Linked DNA regions of Notamacropus eugenii. The protein of the gene in region 3 purifies or fractionates together with the protein of the main gene of each other region. This does not show direct contact. Links are inferred from orthologs where the notes say so. Each region holds a gene or a part of one and is shown on either strand. Other genes may lie near its edges.

What was found.
Region 1: the proteins of XRN2 (region 3) and KPNA1 purify together in Homo sapiens (affinity purification with mass spectrometry; 4 studies listed by BioGRID and IntAct, with this or other methods). This does not show direct contact. The link is inferred for Notamacropus eugenii from reciprocal best matches to the Homo sapiens genes XRN2 and KPNA1.
Region 2: the proteins of XRN2 (region 3) and CDKN2AIP purify together in Homo sapiens (affinity purification with mass spectrometry; 4 studies listed by BioGRID and IntAct, with this or other methods). This does not show direct contact. The link is inferred for Notamacropus eugenii from reciprocal best matches to the Homo sapiens genes XRN2 and CDKN2AIP.

What each region holds. Positions count from the first base shown.
Region 1 is NC_092876.1:342,693,809-342,701,456, forward strand, and holds the start of KPNA1 (importin subunit alpha-5), read left to right. Parts: upstream 1-4,643; 5' UTR 4,644-4,772; intron 4,773-5,014; exon of another isoform or gene 5,015-5,121; intron 5,122-7,648. UniProt on the Homo sapiens protein: Functions in nuclear protein import as an adapter protein for nuclear receptor KPNB1. Binds specifically and directly to substrates containing either a simple or bipartite NLS motif.
Region 2 is NC_092878.1:101,852,183-101,859,132, reverse strand, and holds the start of CDKN2AIP (CDKN2A-interacting protein), read right to left. Parts: upstream 3,006-6,950; 5' UTR 2,816-3,005; coding exon 2,550-2,815; intron 2,173-2,549; coding exon 2,042-2,172; intron 1,636-2,041; coding exon 155-1,635; 3' UTR 1-154. UniProt on the Homo sapiens protein: Regulates DNA damage response in a dose-dependent manner through a number of signaling pathways involved in cell proliferation, apoptosis and senescence.
Region 3 is NC_092872.1:597,031,954-597,038,830, forward strand, and holds the start of XRN2 (5'-3' exoribonuclease 2), read left to right. Parts: upstream 1-3,865; 5' UTR 3,866-4,365; coding exon 4,366-4,440; intron 4,441-6,877. UniProt on the Homo sapiens protein: Possesses 5'->3' exoribonuclease activity. May promote the termination of transcription by RNA polymerase II.

The DNA of each region.
Region 1 (7,648 bases), on a different chromosome or scaffold from region 3:
TGGGTGATATGTAAATTCATATTGTTTATTTCCTTAAAGCTAGCCAAAGCTAGTTTAACTTGTACGTACAAGGAGCCAAAACATAAATTCTGACTGACTGATAAAAGAATGACCAGGCTTAAATATGTTTTAGGACAATCCCAGGATGTCTGTGTCCTTCAGATTTATGGTCCCCATGTCTTTAACTATACCATGAGGGAGGAATTTTCTCAGTTGAATAAGTTGTAAATACAAATTGACAACACAATTGACAAAGTAGTGTCAGCTGGAATTTATGAACCCAGGATATCTGTTTTTCTTTGTCTCTGTATACCAAGATAAGAAAAATTTCACCACTCTGATTACAGACATCCTGTCACAAACAGGTCTTTGAAGCTGCTGACACAGGAAAGGGCATTTTTAGAGCAAAGCTAAGCATTCAGATGGATTACTTCAGGGTGTGACCCTTATTGAGGTTATTAAATTGATATTAAATGATTATCAATACCTACCCACATGAGTTGGTTGAATATTAGGTGTGTCATTTTCTCTTTAGAGAAGTATTATGAAACTCAAATAGAAACCTGGATAAAAATCTTTTTTTTAATGTGGAGTAAAGCATTTTTAATAGCATTTTATTTTTTTCCAATTACATGTAAAGACAGTTTTTAACATTCATTTTTTATAAAATTTTGAGTTCCAAATTTTCTCCTTTCCTCTTTTCCCTCCCCCCAAAAGAGCATGCAATTTGATAAAGATTACATGTATGCAATCATATAAAACCTATTTTCATATTAGCTATGTTATAAAAGAAGAAATAGTTTGCAAAAAAAATAAAATAGTTTACAAACAGAAAAACTATGGGAAAAAGTAAAGAAAGTGAAAATACATTGTTTTGACCTGCATTGAGACTCCATCAGTTCTTCTCTGGATGTGGATAGCATTTTCCCTTGTGAGTCTTTTGGAATTGTCTTGGATCATTGTATTGCTGAGAAGAGCTAAGTCAATCATAATTGATCATCACATAATTTTACTATTACTACGTACAATGTTCTCCTGGTTCTGCTCACTCCACTGTATATCAGTTCATTTAAGTCTTACCAGGTTTTTCTGAAGTCTGCCTGTTCATCATTTCTTATAGCACAATAGTATTTCATTACATTCATACACCACAACTTGTTCAGCCATTCCCCAACTGGTGCATCTCCTCAATTTCCTATTCTTTTTCACCACAAAAAAGAGCTGCTACAAATATTTTTGTATATATTGGTCCTTTTGCCTTTTTTTATAATCTCTTTGGGATACAGAGCTAGTAGTGGTATTGCTAGATCAAAGGGTATGCACAATTTGATCACCCATTAGGCATCGTTCCAAATTGTTCTCTAGAATGGCTGGATCAGTTCACAACTCCACCAACAGTGCATTAGTATCCCAATTTTCCCATATTCTCTCCAAAGTTTATCATTTTCCTTTTGTTATATTGGCCAATTTGATGGGTGTGAGAGGTACATCAGAGTTGTTTTAATTTGTATTTCTCTAATAGTGATTTAGAGCATTTTTTCATGACTATAGATAGCTTTGATTTCTTCTGGATGAATACCTTGACACCTCTGCTTTAGAGAGATCTTTCCCTTCCCAGGCCACCAGTATCAGGGGAATCAGCACTGAAAGGAAAAGACCCTGCTGCAGAGACTATTGACTACAGGAGAGAGTCCAATTTGAGTCCTCAGAGAGTACATATTGACACTAAACAATGGGTACTTTTGTTTGAAGAAGAACATTTTTTTCAAAGCACCTTTACATTTATTATCATACCTTATCCTAATTCAGCAAGGCTGCATGCTAATCAGGAAAAGGTATTTTTGTTCTTATTTTACAGAATATGAAAATGAGAAATTGTGTGCTAAATGACTTTTTCCTTTAAATCAGATCTAGGGCTCAAACACTATTCTTTGGGCTTCCAACCCCAGACTCTTTCCTTCCACTTCCCTTGGTAGTCCAGGGATCAATTTCGTTTGACTGAACAAGGGAGAAAGATATGGGCTGTGGTACTACATAGTCATTTTAACCTCCATCATCCCACGCTTAGGACAGACTTCTCATTCAATTCCTATTTGTCTTCTGAGTATTTGTACTAGGTGATATTGTGGGAGAAAGAAGTACAAAACAAATAATAGGCAGGACTGAAAATTATTATTGTCATTGAAAACAGCTTCCTCTGGTCTGAAGTCTTGTCTGGACAGTGGGCCTGAGACTACTTGAAAACTACTGGGCCTGGCTTTCATCCCTGTGGCCTCATTTACTGTCCTGAACAGCAAGAGGAAGGTAGTTCCAATGGCCAGAGCTACCTCAATGACAGTGAAGGCCAGCAGAGCTTGAATGGTCCCCTGGATGCTGGGCCTGGAGCCACTAGGTTTGAATTCTGCCTTTGATGCTTTAGATGCAGAGGTTTTCAAAGTGGGCCATACCACCCCCCAGGGGGCACTGGAATAATCCAGTAGTACTAGCCTCATAGTGTCTTGGGTGCAATTGGGGGTTATTGAATAAAAATAAAAGGGTGTTGAAAGCATAAGGAAAGAAGATAAGAAAATTTTGAAAAATGGTTGGTACATGTTTCATCTGTTGTGTAACAGAATTAATGAGATTACATTTTCCAAATATACACACAAAATGTAAGTTACAACCAATCAGCGGTCAAATCCACTGACAGGTCTCAATAAGCAAGTATTGGCATGCGAGTATATTGTGCATTGTCTGGAAGTCCAGCACGCGCTGGCAGGAATATGTGCAGGTAATGACTTGTTTACGATATGATACTATACAGTTACATAACACAATATTGCATCATCAAAATTTCAATGAAGGAAAGCCCCCACAAATTTACAATAAATTATTAAATTTAAGATGTGTCATTTAAAAAATATTTTGTATTTTTTTGAAATGACACAAATAAAAAAAGTTAAAGGGTTAAAGAAAGTAGATTTCTGGGAGGGGCACTGAGAAATTTTTTTAAAAGGGGTGATAGGCCAAATAAGTTTGGGAACCTTTGCTTTAGAGATAGGTAACTGTGGCCAAAGGGTGACTATGACCCAGTGACTTATCTCTGAATAATCATATTTGTTATCGTAGGGCGGTTGTGAGGAAAGTGCTTTACAAAACATAAGACACTATGTTAAAGTAAAAGAGTATTTTAAATAAAGCTTTAGTGTTGTTTTCCCTACTTTCGTTTAAGAGATATGGCTCACTTCCTAGATGGTCCTCAGGTCCTTGTTCATACTTCAATGTGTATTTTATTCCCCAGTTTGTAGAAGATGGATTAGATTTATTTAGCATGGCCTTAGAGAGCAGAGGTAGCAGTGAGTGGGATCTTGCTTTGATTGTGAAGCTTTTCTAACTGAACACAGCCTACAAAAATGTGATGGAGGTAGTGGGCTCCTTCCAAGTAGCTTTCTTCAGAAGGAGGTTGGATGGCCACTTGTGTCAGATGTTGTAGAGGGGAATGGGCCATCTTTTCAGCTACAAGCAATTCTCAAAAGCCATATGCTAAGTCAGAGGGGCTGAGAATCCACGGGGTGGACGAAGGGAATTCCTGCTTGCGCCTCTGAAGCTTTGTGACTCTAAGAGTCCTGGACATGAGAGACACAAGAGAAAGGGATCAGAACAGGTCTCCTGGGTAGGCCCCACCTTGGCAAGGTCAGGAGATCCCAGATTCGCTGGGACATTCATTCCTACTAAGAAGCTAACTGATCAGCCAGAATCCCATCTGCGTTGGAACGATCTTCCAGGCTGGTCAGCAGCACAGTTTGCAGTCAAACGTCGGGCCCCCTGCTGAGGGGCTCTAGAGCCGTCCTCAAGTCAGGGAGATGCGGCTTCTAGGTCCACATCAATACTGACCAGCTCAGTGCCGCAAGCACCACATGGGGCTATAAACCAAGCTAGGGCTCGGAGTCCTCCCCGGGATGGAAACAAAAGGGCAAAGTCAAGACTTCGGGGCTACAAATGTTTATCAAGCATCGGCTGTGGATAACACAGGCAGCAGTAACGCAGAAAGGTATTCGGACGAGTGCAGACAGAGCAAAGAGATATTGTCCCCCAGGCCGTAATCCACCGTAGGGAAGTGCGTGAAACGGGCCAAAAGGCCGGGTAGGCCGGTCCGAGCGCCCCTCCCTCCTCCGCGGAGGGACGACGCCCAGGCTCCAAAGCTCCCGGTAGCTTCTGCGAGGCCTGTTCCCTGCCCTTCCCTAGTAATCCGACACTAGTTGCTCCTCCCTCCTTATTATCACTCTCCTAATCCCCAGGCCCTTCACTCCCCAATATAAACCGAGTACTGCAGACTTCATCTTCAATCCATCCGTTTTTCTGAGCTAGACCGATCCTAGTTTTTCTTCTTTTGAACACAAGCTGAAGGGGGAGGGGCTGTTGGTTAGAAGCTGTTACGGGCGGGTGGAACTACAATTCCCAGAAACCTGTCCGGGACCCTAATCGCGGAAAGGGAACGCGCAGGCGTAGAAACTGAGCTTCCCCCTCTTCTCCCCCCCCCCCGGCCGCCCCCTCCCAACCTCCGACGTATGTAAGCTGCTATCACGCAGGCGCGCTCCGAACGCCGGCTTCTCTGGTCTGGCTGCTTGCTCGGTACGCGGCGGCGGCGGCGGCGGCGGCGGCGGCGGAGAGCGAGCGAGGCCTGGTGAGCGCCTCTGAAGCCGCAGGTCAGCTGTGCGGTCGAGAGAACCGGCGGACGCTTGACGCCCCCACTTTACCCACCGTTCGCTCGAGATCGGCTGCCACGGAACCAGGTGGGCGCGCGGGTGGCGGCGGTTGGGGAGGGGAAGGCGTCCGCCAGGATCCTCCCTCTTTTTCTTCCTCCCTCCCCCCTCCCACTCCGGGCTGTCCTCCCGCGGGGAATGGGGAGAGGCCCCGGGGCGGGGGCGGGGAGGGCGCGAGCTCCGATCCCTGGGCCTGTCATCTTGCGCCTTCTCCTCCTGTAGCCGCGCAGCTAACGGCAACGTTGGGGAGGCCCTGCCGGCCTGGGGCTGGGCCCTGAGGTGCTGGTCACTGTCGGGAACGCCGGCTGCGGCGGATCGGCGGCGGCGAGAGCAGCGGGAGGAGGAGGAGGAGGAGGAGGAGGAGGAAAGGGAGGAGGAGGTGTGTGTGGGGGAGGGGAGCTAGGACTGGGCGCCCGCAGGGGCGTCGACGGCGGGGAGGGCGAGCCTAGACGCGGTGCCTGCGTGGTAGATTGGGGTGGCGGGGGGCGCCGGAGGAGCTTGTCATAGGCTATGTGAGTGTGTGTGTGTGTGTGCGTGCGTGTGTGACATCGTGTTAATCCAGACAGGAAGGGACAGTCCGGGTGGGAGTTCACAAGTTCGGGCGCCCCCACCTACCCCCCGGCCCCAAAGCGGAGCGGATGGGTATTTTTGGGGGGAGGGGGGAGACAAGGCAGGACGCTGCGCTGTGGAGGTGGGGGTGGGGCGCGGCTACGGCGACAGATGTCATAACAACACCGGCCTGAAAAGGCTGACGGGGGTGTGGTAATTATAGGCATGACAGAAGCACTTGTGACTAGAACGCGGATAAATGGCGATTCGTGTGCCGGCATGGCTGGGAGGTGTGACGTGCGAAGAGTTCTGGAGGATGGTGCCCAGTGGCGGGGAGGTGGTAGAGCCCGCTGAGGGGGCCTGGGCTGGGGGAGGCAAGGACAGCCCTGAATGCTGCCCCGATTATAAAACTGGAGAAATAAAAAAATACATTAATCCTTCAAAAATTCTGTTTAAGCTCTTTAGGACAAATAATCGCAAAATACTTCTACCTCCATACTGTCTTACAGTATGATATGTCAAAGGACCATTTTACTAAGCTCTTTTTTGTGATTTAATCTATACATATGGGTTAATCTTTTTTTTGTTCTCCTGTCATTAATGGCCCTCTTTATTTTTATCTTGTTTTTGCTGTTTTTAATTTTTGAAATGATCAAGAGCTTGTTTTCTAGATCCTTTGAGTAGTAATGAATTACTCATTTTCTCATTGGCAGAAATCATAAATAACCTCATGTATTTATTGAAATAAATTGTTATACTTGCAGCACGTGGATTTCATAATATGGAGAAGGTGTGTTTTTGGACTAGAGTGGATGGAGGACTAGGGGAACTAGTAGAGCAATTGGGCAGACCATGATCCATGTCGGGGCAGAAGAAAGCCCTAAAGACTTGAGACAGGCCAGGAGGATTTGGGACTGAAGCTGATTACCTTCTTAGATTAATTTCAACAGAGCTAGGCTACCCAATCAAGCTTTCTGGAAGGGTCAGGGTGCAGTGTGAGAATACTGGATCTGGAGGTACTCCCTTTAAGGGTACAAATCACAGCCCCTTCTTACCTACCTGTTACATGCAATTCCTGCCCCTTGGACTACCGTAAACACATCACACAGAGCCTCCTGAAATGTTAAGGGCTGCCCTTCCTTTCCCTTGTTGTAATCGTGCACATGGGTTGTCAGATCAGTTACCTCTTACTTCATTTGCCCAACCTATCTTTTTCACTCATACATTCTTTAGTAACATTCTTTAATTTATTTCTCCCTATAATTCCATGTTTCTTTATTTTTTTTTGTATATTTATATAGTCTTTGCTTGTGCTCACTGCGGGCGTGCTCCGTTACCCTTTGGCTTAGTCTCATTTTCAGTTATTTGGACACTAGTGTTCAATGACACTGTTCTCACTACAACACTAGAAGAATGTTGGTATTTTTAAAATGATATTTAAAATACTCGTATTTTTAAAGGCTTAGGGTAATTAAAAGACCTTTGCAACATCTCAAAAGCAGTCCAACTTCTCTTGCTTTTCAATTTTGGGTCCAACTCATTGTCCATTTGCTGTATATGAACAAGATTTATGCTAATAGTCAAGCTATATAGATTTTCTGCCCAGTTACATATCATTGTGTGGATAATAGGGTTTTTTTTTCTACCTGTTCTTTCCTCTGTGGATGATTCAGATTTTTGAGTGATTATATTTGGCTCCAAAATGAACTATTCTATATGAAACTAAAATCCAGTTTTGAGTAAATCACTGACCTGTCCTATTTGTTTCTGAAGAATTCTAGGTTCGAATGCTGTTTATTTATTGCCAGTATTGTTCCCCTTAAGTAGTACAGGTGGCCAAGATAACCTTAATATTTGATCTGAAATGTTACTTTAGAATAATATATTTACAAAAAACACAGTAATTGTTAACTAATCTAGTGCAGTACTTTTATCAGTTACATATGTGAGGAGGAATTGTATGAAGAACACCTAAATATTACTAAATAATACTAAATAGTATGAGGAATACTTAGGAAAGGATTACGTATGATCCTTAAGTTTACCATCTGGTAGAGGAGATAAACTATACAGGCGTCAAAACATACAGATCAAAGTGCAGAAATAAATATCAGTTAAAATTTTATTATTTATTCTGCTGGAGTGAACCAGCTTGCTTATATTTAGCTTATGTTTGAGTTGAACTCTCTTCTCATCACTCCCTATTAAAATCCTTAACTTTCTTCAAGGAGCCAGTCCAGGTGTCATTTTCTACAGGAACCATTCTTGGTACCCCATAGTTGTGTTTATTGAAATCACAACTTATATTTTTACTTAGCTTAAATGTTGTATTTCTCCTGTAGAATGCAATCTTGAGT
Region 2 (6,950 bases), on a different chromosome or scaffold from region 3:
TTTTAATATTATTTACAACTGCTGCTACTAGGTGAAGACAACTAGAACGTATGTTTTCCACAAAACTAGGGGGGAAGCAATACAAAATGTCTGAAAGCCAATATTTTAGAATACAAAGATAAACTTCAGTTCATGAGCTTTCTGCAGTGACCTTTTAAACACGCTCTGGCAGCTCCTGAGGATGTTTTAAAGCTGGAGGTAAGTTTGTAGGTCTCGATTCTTCATCAAGAAGCACCAAATCGTCTATCTCACTTCCTCTGTATTTTCTTTTACATATCTTTACCACCACTTTTTTCTTGAGAAATAACTTCAGGGCTTCTCTTGATGCTACTGCTTTGGCATTCTCCTTACTTTTTCCACAGCCAGTACCCAAATAAACAGACTTGCACCTCAATTCACAAACTATACTTTCTTGAGAACTCTTATTTTGAGGCAAATCTGCCAGTTCTTTTAGTGGAACAAAAGAAACATCCAATGTTGCTTTCAGAGCCTCCACAGATGCATTTAGGAGTTCTCCATGATTCACATTGGGACTAAAGCCACCAACAGCCACCAACTTCCAAGCCACCGTTTTATACAATCTATTGAAAAAAGGTTGCTTCTGTTTTACATCTTCAGTGGTTAATTTGCAAGAAAACCTAACAGAACTCTCACTTGACTGTGAAGCACTTTTGGAAGGTAACTGTGATGTGCCACTCTTAGAAGCCAGCTGGGACACACTTGCCAAGGAGGTGCTTTTGGGAGCCAACAGCGACCCACTTGGCTGGGAGCTGCTTTTGGAAGACAACAGAGATGCAGCTACCTGAGAGCTGCTTTTAGAAGCCAACAGTGTAGCAGCTACCTGGGAGCTGCTTTTAGAAGTCAGCAGTAAAGTGCTTGCTGAGGTGGTGCTTTTGGGAGTTAACATTTGCATGCTGGATGAGGAATTGTTCTTAGAAACAGATGATGAAACGCTTGACTCCAAGCTAGTTTTGGAAGTTGACTGTGATGTGCTTACATCCGAGGTGGTTTTGGAACCTAATAGGGGCAATAATTCTGGACCAGGTTTGGAGGATAACAGTGGCAACTCAACTTCTTCGCTACTTGGGGAACCCAACAATGGTACACTTGTCTCTGACCTGCTCTGAGACATCAGCAGTGGTACTTCTGTCTCTGAACTGCTCTGAGAAGCCAAAGATGAAGTACTTTCCAAAGCACTCTTTTTAGGTGACACGTTTTGTTGTTTGCAATCAGTCCCAAGACTACTAGATCTTGCCACAGATGAAATTAGTATTGTACTATGTTTGTCTGAAGTTTCCACATCTGAAACCTTTTCAGGGCCTGCTGCAACCTGAGAAGTGCTGGTGCTTTGCTTTGACCCAGGGTTCTCAACTGTCAGATCACTGGGACTATTCTGACACTTGAGTCCTGTCACCTCTTGGGAAGGTACACTCCCCCTCTCCAGAGGGCTGCTAGAGCTCCGATTTATGTTCTCTCCACTTCCCACAGATCTAGTGGATGGCATTAGCCCCCCCTTGACTTCCTGCTTTGGTGATGCCTGCTCTGTTTTGCCAGAAGTCTTCGAAGCATCCTGACCACCAGCAGAACCACTCTTTCCTTCAACTGCCCGCTTTTTGCATGGCTCTTCTACCCCATCTAAAAATTAAAAACAAACAAAAAAAAAAATGAAAAAAGGTTATTTGACTAATTCCACTTGATTACTAGCAAGCTAGACATAAAATGCAAGAAAGATGCTTAGTAAAACAAAAGCAAAAAACTTGGTATGTATAATGCCAAGGACAAAATTACTATGTAATCATGACACAAATTTCTTAAAATGAAACATATATTTGACAGTTTAAAAACAGTCAAAGGGATTTAAAATTAAGAACCAAAGAATATGTAGAAAAAAGTTTGGAACTAGTGTCCTTAAAAAAATAACACATTAAATAGTAGTTTGGCTATGTCAGAAATACAAGTTAATATGAAACATGAGTTCACAGCACTAAAATAAACTTATGTTCTATGCTCCTATATATGTTCACATCTATGATCTGCTAACCATTGCTACTCGATATCCCTCTTTTCTTCACCTTGGCAACCAGTTCATCTCTTGTGGTATGGATTGGAGCATCTGTCACTTTGATGCCTTCAGCCATACTAAGTATTTTATCCATAACTTTGGGTGGATACCTAAAAAAAGAAACACAAGTTGACTCTTCTCCACATCACATATAAACAAGTCTTCCCATCAGCCCCCGAGCCACCGCGAGGATTCTCTGCCTCCCAAGCGGCCCAGGAATGAACGTGCTCAGGGAGGGATGGACTCCGCCTTCTCTCCTCCCCCCCGCGGGGCCTGCGGGCCATTCATCCAGCTGACCGACTGCGAACACGGATGACGTCCGCGCCACAGACCCGGAGGGAGGAGGGCCGGGAGGAGCGGGCGGGGAGCGAGGGAAGGGCCTGCGGCCCGTCTGGCTCCGGGGCTCCCCCCCTCGCTGGCCGCGTTGCCCCCCCAGGCCTCGGCCCTGCCGCGGACCATCAGGGCGGACCGGGCGCGGATCACTCACCGGCAGCCCAAGAAAATATGGTTGGCCCAGGCCATGGAGGAGGAGACGAGCTGCTGCAGCTGCCGACGGCGGTCCCCGCACTCCACCGAGGCGGCTTCGGTGGTGGCGGTCGGGGCCAGGTCTCCGGCATTGCGAAGCAGAAACTCGCGTCGGTGGCGCCAGTGCTTGTCCGTTTCGCCGTCGCTGCGCAGGGTCTCCACCCAGGCGGCCACCCGGGGATTTTGGCTTAAGTACTCGGACACTTCGGAGATGGCCGCCCGCGCCATGCCCGACCCGCTTGTGTCGTCCGTCGCCAGGGCCGGCCGGGGACAAGGGACAGGACGAAGGAGGCCCTGTCACGGAGGACTCCGGTAGCTCTCGCAACCCAGAGGACGGCCGACCAACGAAAGCCGAGCCGCAGCGCCGAAACGCCCACTTCCGCCCGCCGCCAGGCACCCCCTCTCCTTTTATAACCTCTCCGGGACTCGCGCGTCGTCTCTTCCTTCCGGCGCGAGCCCCCGCCGTCGCAGGCGGCTCGGCCGCGGTCCTCGGTTCGGGTTGGCCGAGGCAGAGGAGGAGGGCGGGGCTTAAGGGACGGCCAGCCCGTGGCGGGCGGCTTGGAACGCTGAACCCGCCCCTCGGAGCGTCCTGAAAGCCGTCAGACAGACCAATGGGCGCGTAGGTGCCCACTAGCTCCCGCTTTTGTGACGCGCCGGCGCAGAGAGGCGTTCCGCTCCCGGCCGCTGGTTTCCCTGATCCGCTCCTCCCCCACTGCGGCAGCTCCGGCGGCTGGTGAGGGCGGGGTCGTTCTGCGGCTGCTGCGTCTCCGGGCAGGCGGCGGCGAATAACTCGAAAGGGGAAGTGCAGGCCTCGACCACGGCGGCCAGGGTGCTGGGGGTGAGGGTGATACCTCAGAAGCCTCGGCCCAACGCGACCAGGGGCTCGCGGCGTCGCCTCGGCCGTCGCCGCCGTCGTCAAGGGGCGGAAGTCCGGATCCTGCCGCCGCCGCCGCCGCCGCTGCCACCCCGTCCCGCCCCGGCCGCTGGCTGACCAGCCCGCCCCCTGTCGTTACGGGCCGCCGAAGGAGGAGACCCGGATGGAGCGGGGGCGGCCCTCGTCTGCTTCCCGAGCTGGGCGGCCGGGCCCGGGGCGCCCCCTGCTGGCTTGGGGGGCCCGAACCGGACGCTTCTAGGGAGCTGCGGAAGCGGAGCAGCCTCGGTGCGCGGCCCGCCGCCCCGCGGAGACCGGAGACAGCCCCGCCGGGTGTTCATTAAAGTCAGAAGCCTTTGATCCAGCCCGGAGCGCGTAGTGGGAGCGCTCCCAGCTCGTTGGAGCTTCTTCTCCCCCCGCCGCCTCCCGGAGCGCGGACGCTAGAGGAGGCCGACCCCCGCCCTTCTCCGAGGAGCTGTGCCCCTCCCACGCGAGGGCCTTGGCTGGGAGGGATGGTGCCCTTGTGAGGCGGGCCTGGGGTCCGGAGCCTGTCTGCCGCGGTGCCGAGGGACAGAAGTACGGACGGTGCGCGGAGCCGCCGCCCCGCGCTGCCCCGCGCGCCCTGTGGACTGCCGGGTGCAGCCACTAAAAGGTGTTAGGGTGAAAGGGACTGCAGAGCCGCCCTGACGTTGGCACCCGCAGCTGACACCTGGCAGGACCGAGGCAGCCGCGGCACCCCGCCTCGGGCGGCCTGGCCTACCGGAGAAGTAAGCGCAGGTGGCGGCGCGGGCGGGCGCGAGGCGCCGCTCCCAAAGGCACCGGGAGAGGCCAGGCTAGCGGCGCGGGACTGGGGGACACGTGGTCATTGTCCCATTCAGCTGTGGGTCGGCCCTGGCCTGCCTTCAGGCTCCCGGAGGGTGTCTGGAGAAGTCCCTGCTTGCTGCACCTTAGAGAGAATGCGATTGAGGGTCTCCCGTTTTAGCCCTGACTTCCTCCGGGGAGGGGGCGTGTGCCCCGCTGACGATGGCCGCCGAGGTGGCTCAGGGTCGGGATAAGGTCACTGTGTAAGCACGGGGGACACAGGGCTACGTGACGAGTGTGTCAGCCAGCCGCGTGGTCGTTGGCCACGGCTTGGAAGGGAAACGGCGATTGCCCGTAAATGCTTGTTGACCGACCAGTTCAGTTAAGTGTAGACCTGGTTAAACCACAGCGTATCCGGTCAAAACAATTTAAGTTAACACGGGTACCACAAAGGGATGCATAACTAGCGAAAAATTGTGCTTGGGTGGTATGTTGTTCAGGGAATCTCCCAGAATTTCAGCCTGCTGATTTTGAAATGAAGTGGGCCCAGCACTCCCTTCTGAAAGGACTCAACCACACTCTCATCGCATCTCTTTCCCTGATCTCACCCGCTCATAGGATTTTCAAGTATTCCTGCCCATGCCTCCTGGATCCAGCCCTGGTCTTAGGAGTTTGAATCACTGGATGCCTTAATTGTCACTTCAAGTTCAGCTTGTCTCTTCAGCCCTTCAACCCCCAAATCCAGCCGCAGTATAGTTGCTGCTGTCCACTCAGGTTTCCAAAATACTCCCGATGTGGTCTCTTGTCAAATCAAGGAGTGGGGTACTACTCGCTCTTTATTCCTGTGACTTTCAATAGAGCCCAAAACTTCATCAGCTTTTTCAGCTGCTATAGTATATTTCAGACTAATAGTGAGATTTAGGCCATGAACAAACTCTACGTGCTTTTTCAGATAAACTGCTGCCTATGCTTCCCCCATTTAGTTACTTGTGAAATCTGTTTTTTTAGTCCAAGTGTCAAGATTGTTTAATCCAAGTGTTAAGATTTATCACTATTAAATTTCATTTTAGATTCACCCTGATGTTTTAGCTTGTCAAGATCTTTTTGGATCCTGACTGAAATCCATCATTGGGAGGAATCCCTCTCAGTTTTGTGTCATTTGGAAATGCTACCCATGATTATATCTAAGTCACTTATAAAAATGTTAAGTAGCACAAGGCCTTGGGCACTTCTCTGTCCTCCTAAAGTAAATCATTGATAACTACTCCTTGAATACGTTCATTCAACCAGTTCTGAATCTCTTTGTATTATCATCTAGTACACACATCCATCTTTTCCACAAGAATTGCTTGAGAGACTTTGTCAGATACCTTTCTAAAATTTAGGTAAACTATGCCTGTAGCATCCTGCCCATCTACCAGTATAGTTGCAATGTCAAAGATAATAAAATTAGTCCGGCATGAACTTCTTTTGCTGTTGTAGTAAGGGAGTGGCAGAATGCTAACTAGGAATTCCAATGCCGGGTAGGTAGCTAGTCCTGCTAGCTACTCTCCTGGGAGGCAAGGGGGGAGGGGAAGGAGTTGCTTAAAGTTTACCTCTTTCTGCAGTTTTACTGTTTGCCCTGTAGAATGCAATTCTGAAGAACAACACCCTGGGAGGTAGCAGCAGGGTAGGGGGTGACGGGAAGGCAGGATCCAGAAAAGTAATGGGATCCCCTGTTCTGCAGTAGCCCTAGGCAGTCCTAGAGGAGGTAAAGTTGGTGGGATGGAGTCAGTCACGTCTTTCAGATAATCCCTTAGTGGATGCTGCAGAGGGGGGAGTATGTATGAGGGGGTGAATATGGAACCCTCCAGGTGAAGCAGTACCTGGTAACCTCCCAGGAAGGGTGGGAGCATGGCAGGGTAGAGAACAATTGTATTCCTCAGTCCTATTCACTACACTTTATTGGGAGTTGCAGTAGAAGCCAGAGGTCCAGCACTCTTGTAGTGCAAAGTGGCCTCCAGGAAAACTATTGGATCCTAATGATGCAGTGGCATCCAACAGCCCCAGGTAGCAGGGGACAGGCCAGGGTCAGGGAAAGGGGTGTGTCAATAGGATGGGAGACACCAGGAACCCTCATAGTGGAAGTCACACAGACTGGACCAGCCTTTACAGCAGACACCATCTGAAACTGCTTCGATAAAGGTAGACACCAACTGATGTCCCCTCACTGGGATCCTGTCTCAGTGGGTTTCTTGAGGTAACTAACTAGAATCCAACTCAGAAGAATATTAGAAAAGGCAAATTACTTTCTGACATGACTGTGTAGGTTCTCTTAATTTGTAGTGACGTCTTTAAAAATGAGATAAAACCTGAGTCTTTCTTGAGTGTAGTATTATTGGAGTAGAGATAGAGGGCACCTCAAAACTACAGAGGCCAAAGAAGTCGTTCAATGACATAGTTTGCTGCCCTAATTCATCCACAGTGGATGCCTCTTGGAATCTGACAAATAGAACCAGTTGTATACTTCATTTCTGCTACCCACAGAGAGATGCAAACTCTTATCCCTGCGCTAGGGAATCCCTTGCATTTTGGGAAAGACACAGATAAGACAGATAGATTTTAAGGAAGTCATACCAACATACAGACAATTAGGGAGGAAAAATCGCAGTACTCGAAGTAAGCAGGTTTTCTGGCTCACAGTCCCGGGAG
Region 3 (6,877 bases):
TGACTTACATGCCAATGCCTCTATGAAGCCTTCCCTGATTTTCCCATTTGTTAGTGTTCTCTCCCTTAATTTATCTTGTACTCACCTCTGTCTCTTAATAACTATGTGACCATGAGCAAGTCACATCTCTGAGCCTGTTTTCTTATCTGTAAAATGAAGTCAATAGGGCCTAATTCACAAGACTACTGTGAAGTTCAAATGAGACAACATATGTAAAATGTTTCGAAAACTTTAAGTTAGTTATATCAACAAAAAGATCTAACTTCCCTAATTCAGGGTTTACTAAATTTTTACGAATTTTCTTTTTACTAACCTATTCCCTCCTTTCTAACATAATACCAATCAAATCAGTTCTTAGGTGTTTAAAATCTTTACTTTCATGGCAGACCTAACATTAAAATGGGTTATCCTTCTGATAATAAAGTTTAACATCACATCTGTTTTACTCAAAGATGCAGAGGTTTTTTTTTTGGTTAAGAGTTTAGGACTTAATTACATCTCTGATTTTACATTCTACATACATACATTTTACCTTCTAAATACATTTACATTCTATGTGAGTATCTTAGAATTAATTCAGAGTTCTTATTTGGATTTACAAGCTGACATTTAAAATAACATGCCATCTCTATAAACACTACACATACACAAGACACAGCAAGCATACAGCACTTCTGTTCTATTCAAATCCATCCTTCATACAGCTGCCAAAGTAATTTTCTGAATATGTAAGACTTGCTGACCCTACTCAGAAACCTTTATTAGCTTCTTATCATTTACAGGATAAAACACCTATAGGTCCTTTAATACCCTCTACAATCTAGTTCTCTAAGTGTTTCTTTCTTTTAAAATTTTAAAATTCATTTATTTTATTTCTGAATACATTTTCCTTTACCCTTTCCACTGAGCTTTCCCTTATAACAAAGATTTAAAAGGAGGAAAAATGCCAACTAAAGCCAATACGTGTCTGACAACACAAGCAACATTCTACATGCGGTCTCCCACTTTTACAACAAAGCTGAATTTGAATTATATTCTCCTCCAGGGCTAAGATCTTTAATTTCACAGGGTTCATTTCAGTTTATTGCTCTTTCCATGTACATTGCTGCAGTCACTGTGAATACTGTATTCTGGGTAACTTATCTTTCTTGGCTGGTTTCACTTTACTCCTCCTTCCCATATTTCTACTTTCCCATCAAATTGGACTTGTGTGTTTCAATCTTGTTATACTGTCTCTTAATTTTACTGGGCATCTACCACCACTAGAATGCATCTTGGAATGGTGAAAGTTTCTTCTTCTCCAAGGTTAAGTTCAGGTTGTACTTCTACCATAATACTTTCTCTTAACCTCCCTAAATGTTCTTTATTTCTCTGTAAATTTTCCTGGAGTACTGAGTCTGGACATGTCCTTGGCCTACTACATTCTATTTTCTATCATACTTAGCTGTGTATTCTCCTTTTCTTAATCCTCATTCTTGACCTCTTTGCAGCCAACTTGTAGATCACCTTCTTTTCCTTGGTACTCTCCTGTCTGTAGGTTTCCACGACAATATTCTATCCTGGTTCTCCTCTTACTTGTCTGATTACTCTTTTTCTGTCTCCTTGGCTGCATCTTCATCTATGTCAACCTGTTAACCCCAGGTGACCCCAAAGGGTCTGTTCTGAGTTGTCTTCTTTAGTATATTCCATTGGTAATCTCATCAATTCACATGGATTCAATTAGCTATGCTGATGCTTCTCAGATCTACTTATCCAACCTTCTACATTTTCATCTCCACCTACCTACGGGACATTTCAAACTCAGTGTATTGTAGATATTTTAAACTTAACATGTCCAAAATTCAATTAATTACCTTCCTCTCCTAAATTCTCCCCTTTTCCTATCAGTCACCACCATCCTACTAGTCACTCAGGCCCTCAACCTAGGTTTTATTCTTGACTCTCAACTGTTACCCCCATACTTAATCAGTTGCAAAGGTTTGTCAATTTTACCTCTGTAACATCTCTCATATATGCTTCCTTCTTTCCTTTGACACTGTCACCACCCTGGTGTAGGACCTCATTACCTCATGCACAAGCTACTGCAATAGCCCACTGGTTGGTCTCCCTGATCTTCCTACATCACAAAAGTGACTATGTCACCTACTTTTCCCTAATCAACAAACTCCAGCTCCCTAGCACTTCCAGGACAGAATAAAAATTCTCTTTGGTACTCTAAGCCCTTCAAACCTACCATTTTATCCCCACATTTTCAGTCTTCTTTATGCTCCCCCATGAAGTCTGTGATCTAGTGACACTTGCTGGTCCTCACACATGACATTCCCATCTCCCAACTATGGACATTTTTACTGACTGTCCCTCATTCCTGGAATGCTCTCAGCGCCTTTCCTCTGCTGATTATCATCAAATAATATTGTACATATCTTACATAATTTTGCATTGCCTGTCCTATTTGACTATGAGAGGAAGGACTACCTTTTGCTATTCTTTGTATCCTCCAAGCTTAGTACAGTGACTGGCACATAGTAGGAACTTAATAAAACACTTATTTGACAACAATAGATTGTAAATTTGAACGACTGCTTTTGGATCACTAGTGCCTAGCACAGAGCTTTGTATGTAGAATAGTCTTCATCATCTCCAACTCCTGGCTTCCCTAGCTTCCTTCAAGTCCCAACTAAAATCCTAAGTCCTATAAGAAGCCTTTCCCAATCTTTCTTAACCTAGAGCTGTCTTTCTTATTATTTATTCCTTATTTGTTATTAAAATTAGTTACTATTTATCTTGTATATAGTTTGTTTGAACATATTTGTTTTCTGTGAGTTCCTGCCTTTTTGGTATCCCTGGCACTTAGCACAGCGTCCTGCACACAGTAGGCTTTTATTAGACCGTTATGGGTGGACTAACTAGTAGCTGATTGTTGACATTTGCGATGGCTTAAAAATACATCTTCCTTACCATAAAATTAACTGCAAAAGTTTTCGGTTATTTAAAAAGCCTAAAGAAATTTTGAAACCTTAAACTTCGTTGGCTCAAACATACATACCATATGAATACAAATATCTAGAAACCTAGAAGGGGATTCTGTCCCTTTAAGATGAAAATGAATGGTAGAGCAGTTTGCTTGGAGTGCAGAAAAGGCCCAAACGCTGGACTTGGGAGTCCTTAGACACGCTTTTAAATCCCATCTCGCTACTAAAGCCACAACGCTTGAGGCGAATCGCTTCAGTTCTACGGGCATATTTACTTATTTTTAAAAATACGGAAGCAGAACTAGTTATTCTCTAAATGCTTTCTTTCCAGCGCTAAATCCTGTAACTCAGGGGTTCTCAAACTTTTTGGTCTCAGGACCCTTTTACATGCTTAAAAATCGAGACCCCAAAGAGCTTTGTGTTTACGTGGGTTATGGCTTTCGATATCTAGCTTTAAAACCTTTGGTACTATTACGGAGATCATTTTGACCCCGTCGACCCCCGAGAGGGCCCGGAGGGACCCAGAGTTCCCTTGACTCCGCTTCAGAACCCCTGCTGTAACTTAGGCGGGGCATTTCCCCAAGTGGCACTCAAAGGGTCTATCTACTGGGCACCACTCAAAACTAAACAAACATCGCCAAGTTTAACTTTAAAACGACTTCGTTATTCGAGAGAGATCGCAGATGCCCACAAGTTACTGTTCAAAGGCTCCGGGTGGACGTAGGGGTAACAAGGTAAAACAAAGCGGGTTCGACCCCCAGAAAAGATCCCTGAGGCTTCCACGCTAGCGCGGCCAGGGTGGCTCGCCATGAGCGGAAAGGCAGACAAAAGAAGTCCTTTTTGGCCCCTCCCCAATGGCCGAATTCCTTGGCCGACCAGCAGGGTTAGGTCCCACAAACAAGTTTCCTAGACTGGAGCCGCTCCTCGGTGCGGGGCGCGAGGTTAGGCCGCGGCCGTCCCGAGGCCTCCTTCCCACCTGCGCCGCTCAATCAAGGCGGGGGTGGGGAACAGTTGCGCGCCGGGCACTCGGGTGGAAGCGCTCCAGATAGGCCCCGCCTCATCTACCGTGAGCTCGGGCCGCCAGGGCGAGGCCTCCGCCGGAACGACGAGGGATGACTGGGGGCCCAACCCCTAACAGTCTCTTTTGGGGTAGCGCGGCTTGCGCCCACTCTTTCTGGCGCCGCCCCAGTCGGGTCACTCCCTCCTCTCCCTCCCCCCGGCGCTCTTTTCCCGCCGTGCTCTGCCGCGGAGGCCGCGTGGCGTCACTTCCCCCCGCTCGGCCTGAAGGTGGGCGGAAGTGCCTGCCCTCTGCCGCCGCCGCTGCCTGTCTCTCTGGTTACGCTTTTTTCCCCGGGACCGGGCTTGCCTACTCAAAAAGCGCCCGACCGACACTATGGGAGTCCCGGCTTTCTTTCGCTGGCTGAGCCGCAAGTATCCGTCCATCATCGTGAACTGCGTGGAGGAAAAGGTAAAGGGGGAGGACGGGGAGGGGTCGTCCGAGGCGTCGGCGGAGAGGCGGGGGGCTCCGGACGTGACTAGGCCCAGCGTCTCCCGCCGCCCCTGTTCCGCCTGTTGTCGAGCCCGAGTCGGGGCCAGTCCGCACCCCGGAGCCCTGACCTGCCCGCGTGCGGGAGACCCCCCCTCCCACCTTTGGTGTAGCCTGCTAAAGAGTCCCCACCCCCTTGGGGATTCCCCGCGCGGAGACACGCGGCCGTGCCTTCTAAGTTCCACGGGCGGGTGGCTGTGTCGTGGGTGGAGGGAGCGGGCCTGCGCCAGGGCGGGAGAGCGGTGGTCGGGCTGGGCCGGGGGAGGCAGCGTGCGCTGTCTCCGCGCTGCATCTTTTGGGTCGACCTCGGCCGAGCCCCATCTCCGCCCCCCCTGCTCCTCCCTCCCGGGCCTCTCCGGTGTGCGGTGGTTACTTTGTGGGGGACTCTTGCGTGTGGGAGCCGGCAGCCTTCCGCTCCTTCCCCCGGGCGCGCTCACCGAGTCTGCCGCGTTTTTATCTCCTACTTGTGGACTCGTAATGTAAATAATCGGCTCCTGAACAGCGCGCCCCACGGGCCCTCCGAATGGGGGGAGGGGAGGGGGTGTCGTCTTATTTGTGGTTACAAGCTTTGCCTTAGTCTTGAATTAAATTTCTTTTTAATGACCAAAACTCTAACCCCATCTTTCGAAGGGGGAAAAAAAGCCTTGTAAGAAGTATGCAAAATTAAAACAATGCTATGCCTAAGAGATCAATTTATTTTCCATCTATCTCTCTTTTCCAGGAGGTAGGTAACAGTTTTTATCATCTCAGATCCCTGTTGGTCATTGCATCGATCAGAGCTCTGACTGTTGGAAGGGTTTGTGTCTCAGTTGTAGTCACTGTAGAAATGGTTTTCTGGGTTCTGCTCAGTCTGGGGTGCATCAGTTCCTACACGTCTTCCAGGTTTCTTTGAAACCTACGCGTTCCTCCTTCATTAGTGGATTACGGTGATGTGCACATGCCAAAAGATGGGCGCCCCCCAGGCTTGCACCACCGAAAGAGCGGCTACAATTATTTTATAACTAAGGGTCCTTTTCTTTCTTTCCTTGACTTTTGGTTTGGGGTATCGCTTGGCCCAAGGATATGCGCAGTTCGGAAACTTTGGGGGTAGGAGTCCAAGTTGCTTTCGAGAGTGGCTGTACCAATTAAGAGTCCCACGGACCGTGCATTGTTTTCATGAGCTTTTAGAAAGGTGCCTGCAGCTTGTTCTTTGATGTTTTTCACGTAAATTGATTTAATCCCCATGTTCCCCCCCACCCCCCAATCCTAAAGAAAAATAAGAGGGAAAAGTATAAGTATGATTTCCCTGAGATTTAGCAATTTCCTAGTTGCATTGTTGGAATCTTAAACTTTTTTGGGTAGGGGGAGATAAGCAGCCCCTTATTGCTGCTCCCATTTTTATGTTTTAGATTTAGGTAATTTTGAATTATTTATATATATATATATATTTTTTTTTGCTTGCCCGTGATATTGTTAGACCTCATTTTTTATCTCTTCTTTGAATTAAAGGCAGGAAAAAAATTGCATTACTTTTCTCCTTGAATAAAATTGGCATAATAAATGGTTCTTTTTGCATTTTGAGTTTTAATAGGACCTTTATTTTAATTTTTTCACCTTCAGGACACACCTCAGATTATATTTTATATTGTTTCTAAAAGAGGAAAGTTCTTTATTTCATTGTTCTTTGAGTTTTTTCAGATGCATATTCCTATGTGTCCTAGAAAATCAAGGTATTCAGACAATTGCAATAATTCACTGAATTTGTTATGTTTATTATATCTACATTGATTTCTACGTCAAAGTACACTTCATTGAATTCAGATTTGTGTAAATTGGGATTGATGGGTGAATGAATATTGGCTTCAAACCTTACAATAGAATTAGAACTTGGAGCAGGCACCCCCCATTTTGCCCTCAAAAGGTTCAACTCATTCAGATTTCAGTAATTAATAAGAACCTATCGAACACATTTTTGGAGAGCAGATTAAGTAACTTTTCAAAACAATGCTGTATTGCAGCTGTTAACCCATATTATTATGTCAGAACCATTGGTAAAAAGTACCCCTCTCCCAGCTGTCAGCCCTTTCTATTAAGTTGGGATAGGTAACTGGTTAGTACTTCTGCACTTTTCACCACATACATTTCTTTTGTGTTTCTTCTTCAGTTCCCCTACTTCACTTTTTCTCCCTTTGTTATTCTTTTCCAAACTCTGCCTTTGCCTGTGTTAATGACATTCATTAGAAAAAGGTTATTGATTGCATTACTGGGTTAATAGTAACTGAAGGAAGGTAGATTGGGGGGAGTTGGTTGGTGTATGTCAGAAAAAGCAGTGGACTCTGGAATGTAAATCAGAAGGCTTCATGAAGGAGATGAAACTTGA